3 linked regions of the Drosophila melanogaster genome follow. The protein of the gene in region 3 interacts with the protein of the main gene of each other region in a pairwise test. Each region holds a gene or a part of one and is shown on either strand. Other genes may lie near its edges. The genes, in order: Cpr66Cb, AhcyL1 and vlc.

What was found.
Region 1: the proteins of vlc (region 3) and Cpr66Cb interact in a two-hybrid assay, tested with the Drosophila melanogaster proteins (one large-scale study listed by BioGRID).
Region 2: the proteins of vlc (region 3) and AhcyL1 interact in a two-hybrid assay, tested with the Drosophila melanogaster proteins (one large-scale study listed by BioGRID).

What each region holds. Positions count from the first base shown.
Region 1 is NT_037436.4:8,334,884-8,339,120, forward strand, and holds Cpr66Cb (cuticular protein 66Cb), read left to right. Parts: upstream 1-1,788; 5' UTR 1,789-1,853; coding exon 1,854-1,865; intron 1,866-2,705; coding exon 2,706-2,945; intron 2,946-3,028; coding exon 3,029-3,265; 3' UTR 3,266-3,712; downstream 3,713-4,237.
Region 2 is NT_037436.4:2,767,946-2,774,309, forward strand, and holds AhcyL1 (adenosylhomocysteinase like 1), read right to left. Parts: upstream 4,381-6,364; 5' UTR 3,845-4,380; coding exon 3,323-3,844; intron 2,547-3,322; coding exon 2,097-2,546; intron 2,033-2,096; coding exon 1,439-2,032; 3' UTR 521-1,438; downstream 1-520. Other genes in the region: Non2 (putative nucleolar protein 2), read left to right, coding at 1-57; CG12093 (uncharacterized protein), read right to left, coding at 4,663-5,101, 5,160-5,359, 5,454-5,957. UniProt on the Drosophila melanogaster protein: Might play a role in the regulation of methionine metabolism possibly by binding and inactivating Ahcy.
Region 3 is NT_033778.4:5,700,532-5,706,052, reverse strand, and holds vlc (vulcan), read right to left. Parts: upstream 3,942-5,521; 5' UTR 3,866-3,941; exon of another isoform or gene 3,665-3,865; intron 3,379-3,664; exon of another isoform or gene 3,187-3,378; 5' UTR 3,176-3,186; coding exon 3,106-3,175; intron 3,003-3,105; coding exon 1,837-3,002; intron 1,768-1,836; coding exon 1,671-1,767; intron 1,619-1,670; coding exon 1,134-1,618; 3' UTR 614-1,133; downstream 1-613.

The sequences.
Region 1 (4,237 bases), on a different chromosome or scaffold from region 3:
CATCGGGATTTACTGCGGATTGGATTGGTAATCATCGTGGACAAAAATGTTTGTTTTTATCCCCCGAGTTTTTCGGTTTGTCATGTCTCGCAATGTTGTCAAACGTTGTCGACCATAATATAGCAATTAAAATTGTGCTCGTATTTAAGAGTACATCAACCCGATGACACTCGTTTCGTTTTGACCAGATTGAATCCACGGATCCATGGATCCATGGCTGATCTGCCAAAAAAGAGCTTGTGAATCGGGGCTATGCAAAGTGGTTGGCTGAAAAACTGCACGAAATTCCCATACAAATCCAAGTAATTTCTTGAGTTATTGGCAAACAACTTGCCGATGAACTAGATTACAGAGATGGATGAAATGAGTTGAACGAGTGCATGATGGGCAGGAATTTGGAGTTAAATAGGGGAAAACATGTTGAGGATTTTCCTTAAAGTTGTGGGAAAATAATGAGGACTGGATTGACACAAATTAATGCTTTTTATAACGAAAAGTGTGCATAAGTTTTTTTTTTTCGTTTTGTTAGTGAATATATTTAAGTTACAACAAACTGGAATTATATTGTTGCTGAGAAACAAAACACCTGAATGCATTTGACAAAACGATTGCCTCAACCTTCGAGGTGAGAACCTTAGAGTCACTAAATTCCACGCTTCGCTGCCTAATTAGCGCCAACCAATTGCAAATTGACGAAAGACCCAAAAAATAGCTAGCATTGGTTAATTTTTCTTTAACGCAATTGTGGCACTTAACTTTGAATTAAAGTACGTGGCAGCCAAAGTGTGTGTGTGAGGCCCACAAGCACACACACACACACAAAAGAGCTGCGAACAAAACTTCTGTTTTGTGTGAAACAATTAAATATTACAAAATTGGCTTTTATTGGTACAGCCTGGAGACCCAATTCAAATCTAATGCTATTTACCAGTTACGAATTTACGAAAATCAGCGCATTAAAAGTGAACGATTAACCGGAGGCTAGCCGCAATAGAAGGTTGCCCCAAAAATGTTGCCCAGCAGCAGCCACGAAAATCATCAAGCCGAAATTTGGGTCAAACTGCGTTTAATGAGCCCACTTGCACGGCAACAATGCAGACCTGCAATGCAAATAGGCTGCCAAGCCGAGTTGGCCAAAGCGAAAATACCAAAATATTAACAAACTTGGGCTCGCTGGGGTGGGAGAGATGGATTGGGGGGATGGGGTTTTGTTGCAATGTTGCAACTGCCGATCAGCCACATTGATGACGACTTATCAACGCCATCGCATGCGTCACTAATGGCACACAAAGAGTCCTGGACGACAAGCACTTATCGAAAATGTTGCAATATAATGTTGCTAGATATAAAATAATCTATAAAAATAAGAGGAAAATATTTAAAAATGTAATATTTGTCATAAATGTAGAGAACTTTATTACCTTTGTATGGCATATTGTCTTCCATTGTGGGCAATTATAAAATTTTAGAACCACATTTTCTTGTTTCTATTCTCATGTAATCATTGTTGATTTTCGATATTTTTCCTGAGTTGTGCCGACTTTTTATTCTAAGTGCATTGGGGCTGCAAACATCAAACCCCAAACAATGGCAAACAACAACCACAAGTGAACTGTTTTACATTCGGTTCAAGAGACGCTCCGCTCACCGAAGACAGCAAAGTCGCTGCTGCAAACCACCGCTGCTTGAATCCACCGAGCCACCGAACCACCGCTGCCAGCCGATTCACTTTCTTCCTAACCATATAAAAGCGGCGCATTTTGGTTGCAACCACATTATTCAGTGGTGAAAAGTCGTTGCGTGCAGTCAACCAGTGATCTCCAAATAAATCGCGAGCTAAAACTCAAACTAAAATGGCATTCAAGGTGAGCAGCAGCAGCCAAGGATAAAGGATAACGATTGTGAACAACAAACTATACAGCAAAAAAATATCCTAAAGGATACAGCAAAACGATCTGAGGATCGAGTGATATTTAAGAAACCAAGTGATTTGGTGGTGAACGAAGTGGAAAAGGTGTTCCAAATCTCCAGCAATCATTAAAAGGATATTCATATTAAAAATGTGATTTTTAATTTCAATATGCAATGATTTTTAATGGAAACAAATTTTATTAAACATCGGAACAATAGGATACTGTACTATTTACTATACTAAAGAAAAATTATAAATGTAGAGAATGACAGACTAGGAGCTCAAAGAAAGGCGCTTTTAGTAAAATATTCGTCAGGACCACTAAATTTCAGTTTAAAAATCATCCTGACAAAATTTCACTAAATCAATTTAGCTATTTTGTGCTAATTAAAAAACCAATTTAAAGACAACCTCAAAAACCACAGTTCAAACAAAAGCACCTATTAAAGTAAATCGTTTTAGGATTTAGGAAAAAACTCACACTTTTGCTTTAGTTAAATAAACCTCCCGCTTAGTTAACCAACAAATTTGCAGTCAGCCAGTAAACCACAAAGTAACCACTAAAAGTATATCCAAACAAAAGCGTCAGTCGACCACAGCAAACACTTGATTATGAATTCATTAAGACCAGCAAGAGGAAAAAGTCCGAAATTGCAAAGCAGCCATAACATGGATAGCTACTGTCTGTGGCCAGCAAGTCCTCCAACGCTAATTGCAGCACTTGCAACTACACACACTCCGTCAACGGAAACAATTAGTTGCTAATTATGCACCCACCTATCTGATCTTGCAGTATCTGATCTTCGCCTCGGCTCTGTGCCTGAGCCTCGCCTATCCGTTGGAGCACCAGTACTACGAGGAGAGCCATGGATATGAGCACCTGGCCCATCACGAACCGGAGCCCATCCATGAGTATGGCCACCATCAAATCGAACGCATCTCACTGGGCGAGGAGCACGGTCACCTCGAACACGCTGAGCCCCACTACGAGACCCACGAGTCTCACGGACATGATGAACATGTGGATTACTATGTGAGTATTGTTTCTGAAATTCAAAATTACACTATAAACTATAATCAAAGAGATGATGATGATGAAATGTTGTTTCTTAACAGGCTCCTCCCAAATATGCTTTCAAGTACGGCGTGAATGACTTCCACACCGGAGATGTGAAGTCGCAGCACGAGACCCGCGATGGTGACACCGTCAAGGGACAGTACTCCCTGGTGGAGCCCGATGGTTCCATCCGCACCGTGGACTACACCGCCGACAAGCACAATGGATTCAACGCCGTGGTCCACAAGACCGCTCCAGTGCATCATCATGAGGAGCTGCACGAACACCACTACTAAGCTAGTACACACTGCGCACTAGAGTTAGCCAAATTGCTCATCAGCCGGAAGTGGGAGGAGGATTATGAGGACTAGGAGGAGGGACAAGCATATCCACATCGGTCGACCATGGAATCAGCTTCATATCTCGTAATTAGGACATCAGCACACACCCAGGCCAAGGATCACATCCTGTCCATGGCCATTTCATTAACATTTTGTATATTGTATTTTATTCTGTGATAGCGAATAACTTCTATGTGTATCTTCCGCTTTCAACTGATCCTTAGTCACTACCTGCTCAGACGAATTTACCGATCACTACTCGACTGTTTGCCTTAATCTTTAATCTATAATCTATAATCTGTAAACTGTAATGTATACTTATGTCTTCTCGTAAAACAGAGATCGAACGAAGAAATTGTAAATTGTGTAATAAAGTGTGAATTATGTACTTTTTATAAAATCAAAACTCACCCGACCACTGGCCATAATTTTTTCAGCCGGGGCCAATCATTGAACTTGCACTCCTCAAACAAATGACCAAATGTCTCAGCTGACCAACTGGTTTATGCGTTTCCAGACGTAAACGGCAATGGGCAAGATTTCCACAAATTACCAGACATCGTTAGACACATTTTCCGGATCCCAAACGAGTTCTTCAGTTCATTGTGGTTTCTTGTATTTGTTTTCATTGAAATTGCATAAGCCTTAATTGAAATGTTGACGGAAAATGCTTCCTAAATGGTTAAAAGACTTGGAGTTTCTTCGAAATGTCGATGTAATTGATATATAAGCTGATTTCAATTAGCAATAAATAAAAAATCAAACCGCATTGCTAGTATGGCTAGTTTAAATTTGGCGGGGTTTGTCGATATAGTTTACCAGCACTGTTTAAAAATGTCGATAATGACTAGTAAACTTTCTTTACAATTGCCATCTCTAATTGATAAGAAAGGGCAGAGTACATATAAATAAGAAATATATCAATGG
Region 2 (6,364 bases), on a different chromosome or scaffold from region 3:
CGCCGCTTCCGCACCTTTGGCATGCTGAAGCATCTCAAGCCGCACTTTCTCGATTAGATCAGATCCGCCCTCCGATCCTCTCCAGATGCAAATATATGTGTATGCCTCTCCGCCAGCCTGGTTTACCAATCCCCTGTAACTTTCGGCTCCGCCTGGATTTGTTTGTTCCACAACCTTTGATTAAGATTTAGTTGACGCATGTGTTTAGCATTACCCTAATTAGGACGGGTTTGCACATTATGCACTTTACGGCATTTTAGGAATAGTTCAGATGAACGGAAAATTACAAAAAAAAAATCGATTATAATACATAATGTGTATGATTTTTTTTATGACAAACTCGTGTAGTTTACATTTTATAAAATATCAAAGAAAAACATAACAAGTTTAAGGCAAGTACCGAGTAATAAAAAGAGAAATAGACGAGTGATGCATCTGAAAAATACGAAAGCAACTTTTCCTGGTTTTCATTTCGACGGGGCTGCTGGGGGAGAAATCAATCAGTGGAACAGATCTAATTGCTCAATAAAGAATCCCTTTTTTATTGTTTTGCGTTTCTCACAAATTTCTTACAAACATTTTTCACTTTTTCTAATATACATATTAGGTGTATATGCAGTGTATATATATATATAATTCTCGATCTGATATATATGCCAGCGTGTATATAATTGAATAAATGGAATACCTTGCACTGCTGTTCCATTAACGCTCTCGGGACGAAACGAAAGTACAAAAGTATAATCATAATCATAAGCGGGGGCCATAAACATTAACAAATTAAGTACGTAAACAATACGAGAGGTTAAATCGATCACTTATTGCCCAGCTGTCGTAGCTCAAAAAAGGGATTAGTCAGGAAAGTCGTTAACATTAAAATGTACATGGATTTCACGCGAAAAAGTTATAGAAATGTAATGCAAATATGCTAGAAACCATTATACAAGTCAATTCCCATTAAATATATTATCAATTCCGAATTAGAAGTATACATTTAGAGAACTAATCGCGTCTTTTGAGCTACTGCAGTCTGATTGACAGGCGTTCGAAGTATTTAAAATAAATTCAAGTAACTGGCTACAAAAAATGTTGATGGGGATAAATTCTTGGGGCAAGATTAGTTTTGGGGATTAGAGAGTCATGTTGGATAGGTGAACGGAGAGAATACTCCTGCGGCTAAAGCGAGTGCTAAATACTATGTCGAAGACTTTAAATGCTAACGAAAAGCAACCAAGAATTCCGCTCGAGCTAAACTAAGCAATACAATGGTAATAGTAACTTTGTGTTCTCCTTTCCGTATCCTTTTGTGTTTTCCGTGTGTGTGTGTGTCAACAATTGTTTTAAATAGTTTTACTTCTTCGCAAAGACAATACTTTCGTTGGCGTTGTTGTTTCTTCTAATTGCTGGTGTTATTGTCCGCATCCGCCCGCCTTGCGTCCTAGTAGCGGTAGTAGTTGGGCTTGAAAGGACCGGCCTTGTTCAGTCCCATGTACTTGGCCTGCTCGTCGCTCAGCTCCGTCAAATGGGCATCGAAGGTGGGCAGGTGCAGGCTGGCAACATACTCGTCCATCTTCTTGGGCAGCAAGTAGACATCCGACTTGTAGCGTCCGGGCGGGGCATTGAAAAGCTCGATCAGGGCCAGGGCCTGGGTGGCCGAGGTGATAGACACGGCGAACGAGGGGATGCTGGAGCAGCTCAGATTGACCAGCCTGCCCTCGGCCAGAAGAATGATGTACTTGCCCTCCGGCCAGATAATGTGATCCACCTGGGAGCGCACCTTCTCCCAGGTCAAGTCCGGTGTGCGCAGGCCATTCACATCGATTTCCGTGTTCGAGTGGCCCATGTTGCATACGATGCAGCCACTCTTCATCTTGTCCATGTGCTCGCGCACCACCACGTTCTTGTTGCCGGTCGCCGTCACCACAATGTCTACGTTGCGGATCACCTCGTTCAGCTTGACCACACGGAAGCCATCCATACTGGCCTGCAGGGCGCAAATGGGATCGATCTCTGTGATGTACACAATGCAGCCCTACGATTGGAGATTGAAAAGGTGACAAAGGTATATCATACTAATGGTTGTGGGTGCCATTTACCTGCCCCTTTAGAGCCTGAGCACATCCCTTGCCCACATCGCCGTAGCCACAGACCACGACCTGCTTGCCACCGAACATCACGTCCGTGGAGCGCTTGAGGCTGTCCAGGATGGATTCCTTGCAGCTGTAGAGGTTGTCAAATTTGGTCTTTGTCACCGAATCGTTGACATTCATCGCCGGCACTGTCAGCTTGCCGGCCTTAGAGAGCTGATAGAGACGGTGCACTCCGGTGACGCTCTCCTCGACGATTCCCTTGACCAACTTGAACATGGTCGGGTACTTTTTTAGCATCAAGTGCGTGGCATCGCCGCCATCGTCCAGGATCATGTTTGGCTGCCAGTTCTCGGCGTTAACGCAGCGATCTATGCACCACCAGAAGTCCTCTTCCGTCTCGCCGCGCCAGGCAAAGATCGGGATTCCGGATTCGGCCAAAGCAGCAGCCACTTCGTTCTAAAAATAATAAGCAACGATATTGAGTTGTTTTAATAATGACAGTCCTTGAAGGCTAATAAAATGATTGTCAAACAGGTAAAACCCTCGAGAGTTGGCCTGATAAATCGAGTCACCCTAATGCGGCGTAAACATTTGCTAATATCTGACTTATATCGAGCTGATAACGCATCGGGCTCCATTCTCGCTAAGCACGGCACTCGTAGCTTGGCTGATAAGTCCCAGCCGATACAGGTGAATCAGCGTGACAGGCTGTCGGGGGCCGTGGGCGATAAAAGCTGGCACGGATGGGTGCATAAATGATCGGGGAAGGGCGCTCGCCCTCGCACTCGCATCGCTTCATTAGAGAAGCCATAAATTGTTTAGCGTCAGCAGACTCGTGATAATTGCATCAGCCACGCCGCAGGAATAGGCAAACAGATCGAGTAACCGCAGCCGATCCAATGCTGGAACTAAAACTGCGTCCGTAACTTCCACTCCCAATGGTATGGCGACCCAATTCAGGGCACATCAATTACTCAGCGATTGCCAAACACTTGAGCCGCGGGCGCTTAATTGATTAACATGGCTTGATTGATCATTTGTTTGCGTCGCCTGGCGTGACAACAATTGTCTCCAAGCGACCGAGCAGATCAAGTGACCGAGCACGCATATGCATATGAATTTAAATAAATATAGGAAAATGAGTTAAGATATCTCTTAAGAGATTCCATTAAATGCATTAAGCAGCCTATGAATACGTAAGAACCCTATGACATTTTCATACGACATCTCACCTGCGTGGAGTAGATGTTGCAGGCGGCCCAGCGCACGCTGGCGCCCAGTTCCACCAGCGTCTCGATGAGCACGGCAGTCTGGGCGTTGATGTGTGTGCAACCCACGATCTTGGCATCCTTCAGAGGCTTGTCCTCGGCCGCCCGCTTCTTCAGCGCTATGATGCCCGGCATCTCCTGCTCCGCAATCTCGATCTCCCTGCGCCCAAATGCATGCTGGGCGCCTATGTTCCTTACACAGAAATCGGAGCTGCCTTTGGAGTTCTTTTGGACCTTCTCCCTGGGCGGCACGTCGTCGCCATCCTCGCTGCTGCCCGTGTAGCTGGCGGAGCTGAAGGAATCCGTTGAGGAGGCACTAAGCGAGCGGCTCCTGTACCGACTTGTCTTCTTCAGAGCCGAGGACTGCTTGGTGGCCGGCGGAGGAACCACCACGCTGGCATCCTGCGGCGCCGGTCCAGCCTGCTGCTGCTTGTCGCCGCCTCCGAATCCAGGATCAACTACCACAGTGTCTGCCAGGTTGTTCATGGTGGAAGTAGAGGGTAATCTGGGGATTTCCTTACTATCCCTTAAATTGGCTCCTTGCTCTAGCTCCTAGTGTTCCACCTTCTGCGACTCCAGAGCTTGCAATCCTTTTCCGCTGCTCCTTTGAATGGGCGCCTTGGATGTTATGTAAAGTCTGAAATCCAAGCAGGATGCGCTGCAAATGGCTAGTGGTGTGGCCTGGGTCTATACGAACTGCACAATCACGTGATTTATCGACGTTGTGGAGACCACAAATTGCTAAATTAATTGTTTTTAGTGCGAGTCTCCTTTGTTTCACCTCTCCACTATTGTTTTTGTTCTTCTTCTTCTTTTGCGAATGGGGGGCTACACTTTGGATCCGGGGCTTGATGGGAGTTTCCGGAGAGGGGATGATGATGCAGCCGTCGGCTTTCGGGCGACGTTGTTTGTGTGGCGACCAAGTGGGGGATCGTTTGGCGATCGCTTATTGAATTTGATTTTATCCGGAGAAAAGAGAACTAAACCGAACCGAGGACAGTAAGCGAGACACGCGAAAATACCAAAAGCAGAAGGCGTTAGTGCTATTCTGCAAGTGTGGTAAGTTCCCACTGAAGAAAGGCCAAAGTAACGACTTTTTAACTGAAATCGTCTAAAAATTAATTTTTATAATTTCTTACCATTAATTATGTGTTTATTTTTTAATGAGCAAAGTAAATAAAGTGTGATTTACAACTCCTCAGCTGCAAGTCTTTTAAATCTGGTAGCTGGATAATTTAATGAGTCAAAAAGAAATTGGCAAAGTATTCGAGGTTTATTAAAAACAAATAGTTAACACATTTGGCCTACATATCCTCCTGTAGGTAGCCGCACAGCTCGTAGTCGTCCGCCGTGTTGACCAAGTGCGCTTCCCTAAGAAGGCCCTCCTTGTAGGTCTGTCTCTTGACAATCAAACGCGACAATTCCTCCGGTGCAAGTGGTCCTTGCTTGGCGTGTTTCTGGATGAAGTCCGCCGCCAGTTGTCGATCCACGACGGACATCTCGAGGCTGCGACTCCAGGCGAGCAGGGCCAGCGGTCGCTGCGGACTCAGAGCCAGCGAGGGTGACACCAGATGGCGATACAGACAGCCACCCACGATGTCTTGCAGCTGCTTCACTTGGCCGGGAAAAGCGCAGGGATGGTAGAGCATTACGATGGCACCTTCCGCCAGATTACGCACGTATCGCTGAGGAGGCAAGTAGGAATAGGTGCCATATTCAGCGGGCATCGGGCGATAGGGGCCACTGATAATACAGATTTGAATTTGAAATTAGCAGGAAACTATAATATTGTTCGCCTTACTTGGTGGCAGGCAGATGGGAGTAGCTAATGGACTCATTAAGGCACTTGGCAGGCGGCAGATAGGCGCTAGGTAGAAAGTGCTCCGTAAGAATGGCTTCTCTGGACAAATCCGGTTGGTACAAGCTGTGATTACTACTGATGCATAGGAAATTCAGGCTGTCACGGATGTCGTTTGGATCGAAGTCCACGGCAAGATTGCTCTGAAAATTGTTAATAACAATGATAGAAAAAGATGACTAATACTAAGCATTCATCGGTATTTAGGGGAAGTATTAGTTATATTGCCAAACTCACCTTGCCATCATCACAGCTGCTTTGTTTAGTCTTGTGCGATTCATTGGGACCCTGCGGAAACAATTTACCCTGCCAAGTATCCTGTGTGGTGGACTTCCCCGACTTGGTTTTGTTATCGACCAGCGGTTTTTTCTTCACCAAGTGCGGCTCTCCGGGAGCTTGTGGAAACCACTTGCCCTGCCAGCCATCCTTGGTTGTGAACTCCAGCGGAGGAACTTCCTCCGTGGTGCTCTTCATTTTTAATTCAATCGCTTCCTGCTGTTGTCCAGGGGCATGGGGAAACCACTTGCCCTGCCAGCCATTCTTGCCGGGCGTCGCACCTAATGGAACCTGCACACGTTGCACATCATTGGAAATGTCGGGTGGGGACTTCCCAATCTTCCCTAGCTTCTCATCAGGATCAAGAGTTGGCTCCAACAGATTGGCCTGCGACTTCTTGATGGATTTCGCATCGATGAGGGCGAACCCAAGGCACAAGAGGGTCAAGTAATGCCAAATAAACATAATAATTGCAAGCAAAAGAAAAACAAAAGCGCAAAATAAGCAAACAAAAATATAATTAAGAACTTGGCAAAACAGCTGTGGAGCTGCGTTTTTCAACACTGGTCAAAGCATGACTTTGTTGCAGGGTAGCAACAGGTTGTTTGGAGTTTGCATAAATCTCCGATGATAATTATGTGTTGTTTTAATAACTAAATTAAAATTATTTACGCCAAATTAAAGTAAATAAAGTTAATTTAAAATGACTACTTAAATCAAGCAGATTTAAAAGGAAATCAATGTATATTTGAAATATTCAGACTGGATTCTAAGGTTAAATGACAAATTACTCACCAGAAATCGGCTCATAATAATAAATCATTTTATTTTCAAATGCCCCCTGCGAACGCTCCCCCGCATTGCACACACCA
Region 3 (5,521 bases):
TATTGTTTAAGTTCAAAAGTCTAAAAGAAAGACCGGTATAGTTGATGAGCGTTAAAGTGGGCGTGGCAGCGCTTTGAAACCACCTTAAGCAGAGTCTCATGTCCAATCCCATTGAATTAGCTCTCATAGTTTTCGATATCTTGACATTCATTCATATGTACGTTCGGATAGATGGATGGAAATGGCCAGATCGACTCGGTTATTGATGCTAATAGCGAATATATATACTTTTTAGGGTCGGAAAAGTTTACTTTTCCCTATAATATATATTTTTTAGGAAATCAATCACTCTACTTGGCCAGATCGACTTGGCTATTAATCCTGATCAAAAATATATATTTATATATTTGATTATATGGTCGGAAACGCTTCCGTCTGCCTGTTGCATACTTTTCAACGACTTCAGAATAATTTAGCAATGATTTATACTTTCACCTCTCTTTTTCCTATCAACGTTTGGTATGCGATCCTATTAGATTTTGGATTACCTTTCAGTTAGTTAGCGATTTTAAGTTCTTCGCCTTCACACGTCCCCCTGTGCTTCGTCACTACGCCGATTGCCGACCACAGTGATTTGCTAGGGAAAAGTATAGCATTAACTTTTTTTTAATTTAAATGTGTGAGTTATTTTTATTTGCAGTTGTATAAAAATATTTTGCCTATTAATAGAAATGATATTCCAAGAGTTGTATAAGTTAAATTTCTCAAAAATAATTATAAAACATCAAATTATGTTATACAAAAATTTTGTTGGTTTTTAAAATACTTAAATAATGTAAAACGTGAATAAATGTCTTTTTTATATGTAATCAAGTAATTTTAATTTTCAATTACATAATGTGCACAGCAAATTGATTAATTAGCGAAATCTTTCGCGGATAAGGCAATATTTATGAACAACTTTAGGTAAGTCGCAATTGGTGACAATACTTCGTTATCTCCTAGATATTTGACGCCTTGTGACAGATTTCAGTGAGGAGCTCCAACACAATAATTTTAGTTGGGACTAGTAAATGATTAATTCAACTAGAAATATCTATAAATTTAAGTATGCCTTTGTGGGGTACACGTGTGTTAGTTAAAAATATATGTATAAATAGAAAGCATGAGTTGCTATTCGCAGTGAGCATTATTTAACTTCCGTTGCTAACGCTAGGATTAGCACAACTATCGCCAATTATTCCCGGCACGTCCGGGTCGGCATCAACATTTATGGGATTCAATTTGGCCGCTGCGGTCATAGCCTCGCGACGCTGACGTTTCATCTCTAGAAGCAGTTTTCTCTGGGCCTCCCTCTTTAAAGCTGCTGCCGAGTTAGGTGGGGGAGGTGCCGAGCCATTCACACGAACGCTGGATGCCTTTCCGACTGTTTTCACTTGCGAAACACCGACTTTTGACGGCTTTATTGTCTTAGTTGGTATGGTGTGCAAATCGGGTTGGTCAGCGACGGACTGTGCTTTTACCTTCCAGTCGTTACTTTTGAGTTTCTCTATATCAGCAAAAATAGAATCCACGTGCTCCACCTGCAAATAAACCATATCCCAGAATCCTTGTAAATCATCCAGAGTTGTTGGAAACTTATCCTCTGGTGAGCGATTCAGATTATTGTGGCAAAGACCTAAAATATTAATGTTAGTAACAAGTGATTTAATGCTTTGCAATACGCGTACCCTCGAATTGTTTCATTTTCTGCGATACCAAGAGACGGGCCTTACCCGACGCTGATCGCAGTAGCCCAAAGGTATCTTCGGAGATATCTGGATTTGTCTGTAGAGTTCAGTGTCGAAAATAATAATAAAAACAATTGAGATTTTAATCACTATTTAGATCACTTACAGACAAGGCGTCTGCATATTTTTCAGCAAGAGCGGCTAGCACCAAGAGACGGCTTTGTTCCTCTTTTAGTATTTTCAGAAAGAAATTTCCATCCTTAACAACAGCTTCAACAGAAATATTGGAAGTGCTGATGTATTCCTCTGAGGCTAGTTTGTCCATTTTTGTGGATTCGTGGTCTACTTCATCTGTGGGACCATGGTCTGGACTTGACTCGTTATCTACAAGCAGTACATCAGGAGCCATGCAAGATCGAGGAGCACCCCTTTTTGGTGACACAGTAGGCAACTGGGCGCGGAACTCTTGACTAAGGTGCCTAAACACGGGCAGGTCAAGATCTCCGTTAAGCCCTGGAGAATGCAACGGCTCGTCTATCCTCGCCGTTGTACTCTGAGAACACTTCTTCTGCATTTTTTTTCGAAACTCCCCATAGTCTTTACTGGGGGAGAGCTGCTTGAATTTCCGAGCCAGTTCGGAGCCTTGTAGAGAGTCGATCTCCACCTGCCCCCTTTCCGATCGCCCTGCAGCATTCGATGGTGACTGGCCGTGCTTTTTGGGGCTGTAGAAACCCTGGGCTAATGCACCCGGCCCGTAAAGTCGCTCCACCCGTTGCTTGATAAAACTGCCATTTCCATTGCTGTGACCAGAACCCGAACTAAAATTCCCGCTACTGTCGTTGCTGTTGTTGTTAGGCTCGATGGGTTTGCACTTGGTGGCCGGAGAAGGCATGCTGTGCAGAGTTGGTGTCGCTAGAAAGTGGTTGCGTTTGCAGTACTGTAGACTGCTGGTGGAGGGACGAATCGGGGAAACCTCACGTGACTTGTTTATGTCCTGCCGAATCTTGGAGTCGTAGGTGGTAAGGTTGGAATAACCGTTGACGCAGCAAGCCAGGTTTAAATAGCTGGGCTTCTTTTCGGGAGCTTCTTGTGAATTTTCTGCAGAAGTCTCGTCAAAATCATTGGAGCTCGGCTCTTGGTCGCACTCCACAATTGCAGGTGACAGCACCATGTGCTCCAGCTCTGACGACCTGGATTCAACGTAGGCAGGGGTTTTGTGCTGAGGCTGGGGAGGCAAGTTAGGCACACAGCGCTCCCGAAGGTTGGCAGTAAATTCGCGTGTTATGTCCCTTACTGAGACCGGCGTTGGAAAGTTCAGGCTCCCACTGGTATCTGCAATTCGGGGAAATCAACCCGATGTAATCCACAGATGGGTTGCAAGGCGATTGAAGTTGGTTATATGTATATCCACATAAATATCCATATAAATATTTACCTGATATATCGGAGGAGTCGGCGTCTACATCCAGTGAACAGCTGCCAATAGAGTCCAGACTGCGATCCATGAAAACTGAGCCTGTTGTATAAAAAGCATTGGGCTTAGTTATTCATGCAATTTACAATTCTTAACCGTAATTAGCCGTTAGTGGTTGACCTCCAAAAGGAATAAACACGAATAAACTGATAACGCCCACGTCTGACTTGGTTTTAATGTGGAAATTGAGCATTCAGAGAATCGAAAGAGCCTGACAGGTAATTTTTATTTATCTTATTCGGAACCCAAAACATAATGATTCAGATCTCCTCTATCTCTCCAATCAGATCCATATATTTTGAAACACCAGTCAAATTCAATAATATAAGCAGCGCACTACGCCTTCTAAGTTAAGCCTGTGAATGTGTAAGTGTAAGCTTAGCAGATGGGAACAGCTTTAACGGCACTTTGAAAGTTCCGCTTTGCTGGCTTTTCTTTGATGCTTCGCCCAGTTCCCGTACTTTTTCCCTCCCATGGCCCCGTGTAGAATTCATTATGGCACCAACAAACGACACACAACTATTTATAATTCGGTGAGATGAAAAACATGATGATGTCGGTGGCGTTCGAAGTTTAAAGAACACAACTCCTTTGGGTAATAACACACACACGCACTTCGATCTATTTTGGTCTCATAACACAACGTGAAGACTGCGCAGCTTGAGCGTATAGAAATCCAAGCTAATACGTGCCAAGTGAAGCCTTCAATAATCCAATTTACTTATTCCTGAAAACCAATAAAAACTGATCGGTGAACAGCGGTTGTGTTGCCATGACCTGGACATTAAAAACGCCATTTCGCCGACCGCTTCGCATTTTAAGATTAAATAGTGCATGGTATTTTTAGGACAAGTGTTAAGGTAACGGCGATAAGATTCTGTTAAAAGTGAAACTGTGAAAATGTAACACAGGGGTGCTTGAAAACTATCTATATGCTTTGACAAGACAGTCCGTCAGTTCGTTTCAATGCTTATTAATCGCAATTTTAAAGCAATTTGCATCAAGCTTTCATGTAAGCCAAACCGAGCCGGTCCGATATTATATCCATGGAAAAAATAAGATGAAGAAAATGTAAATTTGTTGTTCGTGATCATGATGTGACAAATATCGGACATGCATTCGGCATACGTAATATTTTTTTCGAATTCGATTTAGGCAAAATTTTTGGATTTCGTTAAAAAAAAGGATTTAAATTTGCAATTTATTTTTTTGAAGCCACGAGAAGGCAGAAATTGTTATTTACATTCAACAGTAAACAACTGATTTAGCTGTTTTCCAGACGATAGCGCTGCAATCTTTTTCACAGTCTTAATTGCGGTTCTTCCGAATTACTAGTTCTCTTTGACCATTTGCGTAAATATATTAAATAACATTATTTAAAATCAACTCTTTTGGCCATCCTTTAAATTAAATAAAGAACTCTTTTATATTTGATAAGTATTTATACCTGCTTATACCTGATTTTAAAATTGTTTAAAAGTGTGGGCGTGACCGTTTTGCGCGTTTCGTAGGCGAAAAGATGGCGTGGCCAGTTTTTTGGTATATAAATAAAAAATGAAAAAACAAAAAATAAAACGAAGAAAAATCTAAACTTTTTTTGTGGGCGTGGCAGTTTTGGGAGGCTATGGGCGTTAGAGTGGACGTGCCAAAAAGTTTTTGGGAAATCGATAAAAAGTTACATGACTAATAGTTACGAAAAAATATCCAAAAGTTTTTCAAAAATGTGGTCGTCGCAGTTTTGGGCGGTTTTGCGGCGTTAGAGTTTGCGTGGCAAACAGTATTTAAGCAAATCGATAGACTAAGCAGGACTAATAAAAGTATGAAGAAATATCCAAACAATTATCAAGAATGTGGGAGTGGCAGAAAGTGTTTTTTGCAAATCGAGAGAAATTTACAAGACTTATAAAATTTAAAATTTTGGGCGTGACACTTTTGTGCGATTTGTGGGCTACCAAATATTTTTTGGCATATCGAACAAAAATTACATGACTAATAAAAATTTTAAAAATTATAAAAAAAGTTTCTTGGCAAATCGATAGATATTTACAAAACTAAGAAAAATTATGAACAAAATATAAAACATTTTTCAATAGTATTGGCGTGGCCGTTTTTGGCGTTCGATGGGCGTGGCAAAAAGTATATTTTTTGCAAATCGATACAAACTTTCAAGACTAATACAAAAATATCCAGACATTTGTATGCGTTAGAGCAAGCGTGTCAAAATGGGTCAACAAACCGGCTCTGGGTCGAGGCGTTCATATAGGCATGGCTAGTTCGATTCGGCTATTGAACCTGATCAAGAATATATATATATTACATTACATTATACATTATAGGGTCGGAAACGCTATCTTCTGCCTGTTATATACTTTCCCAC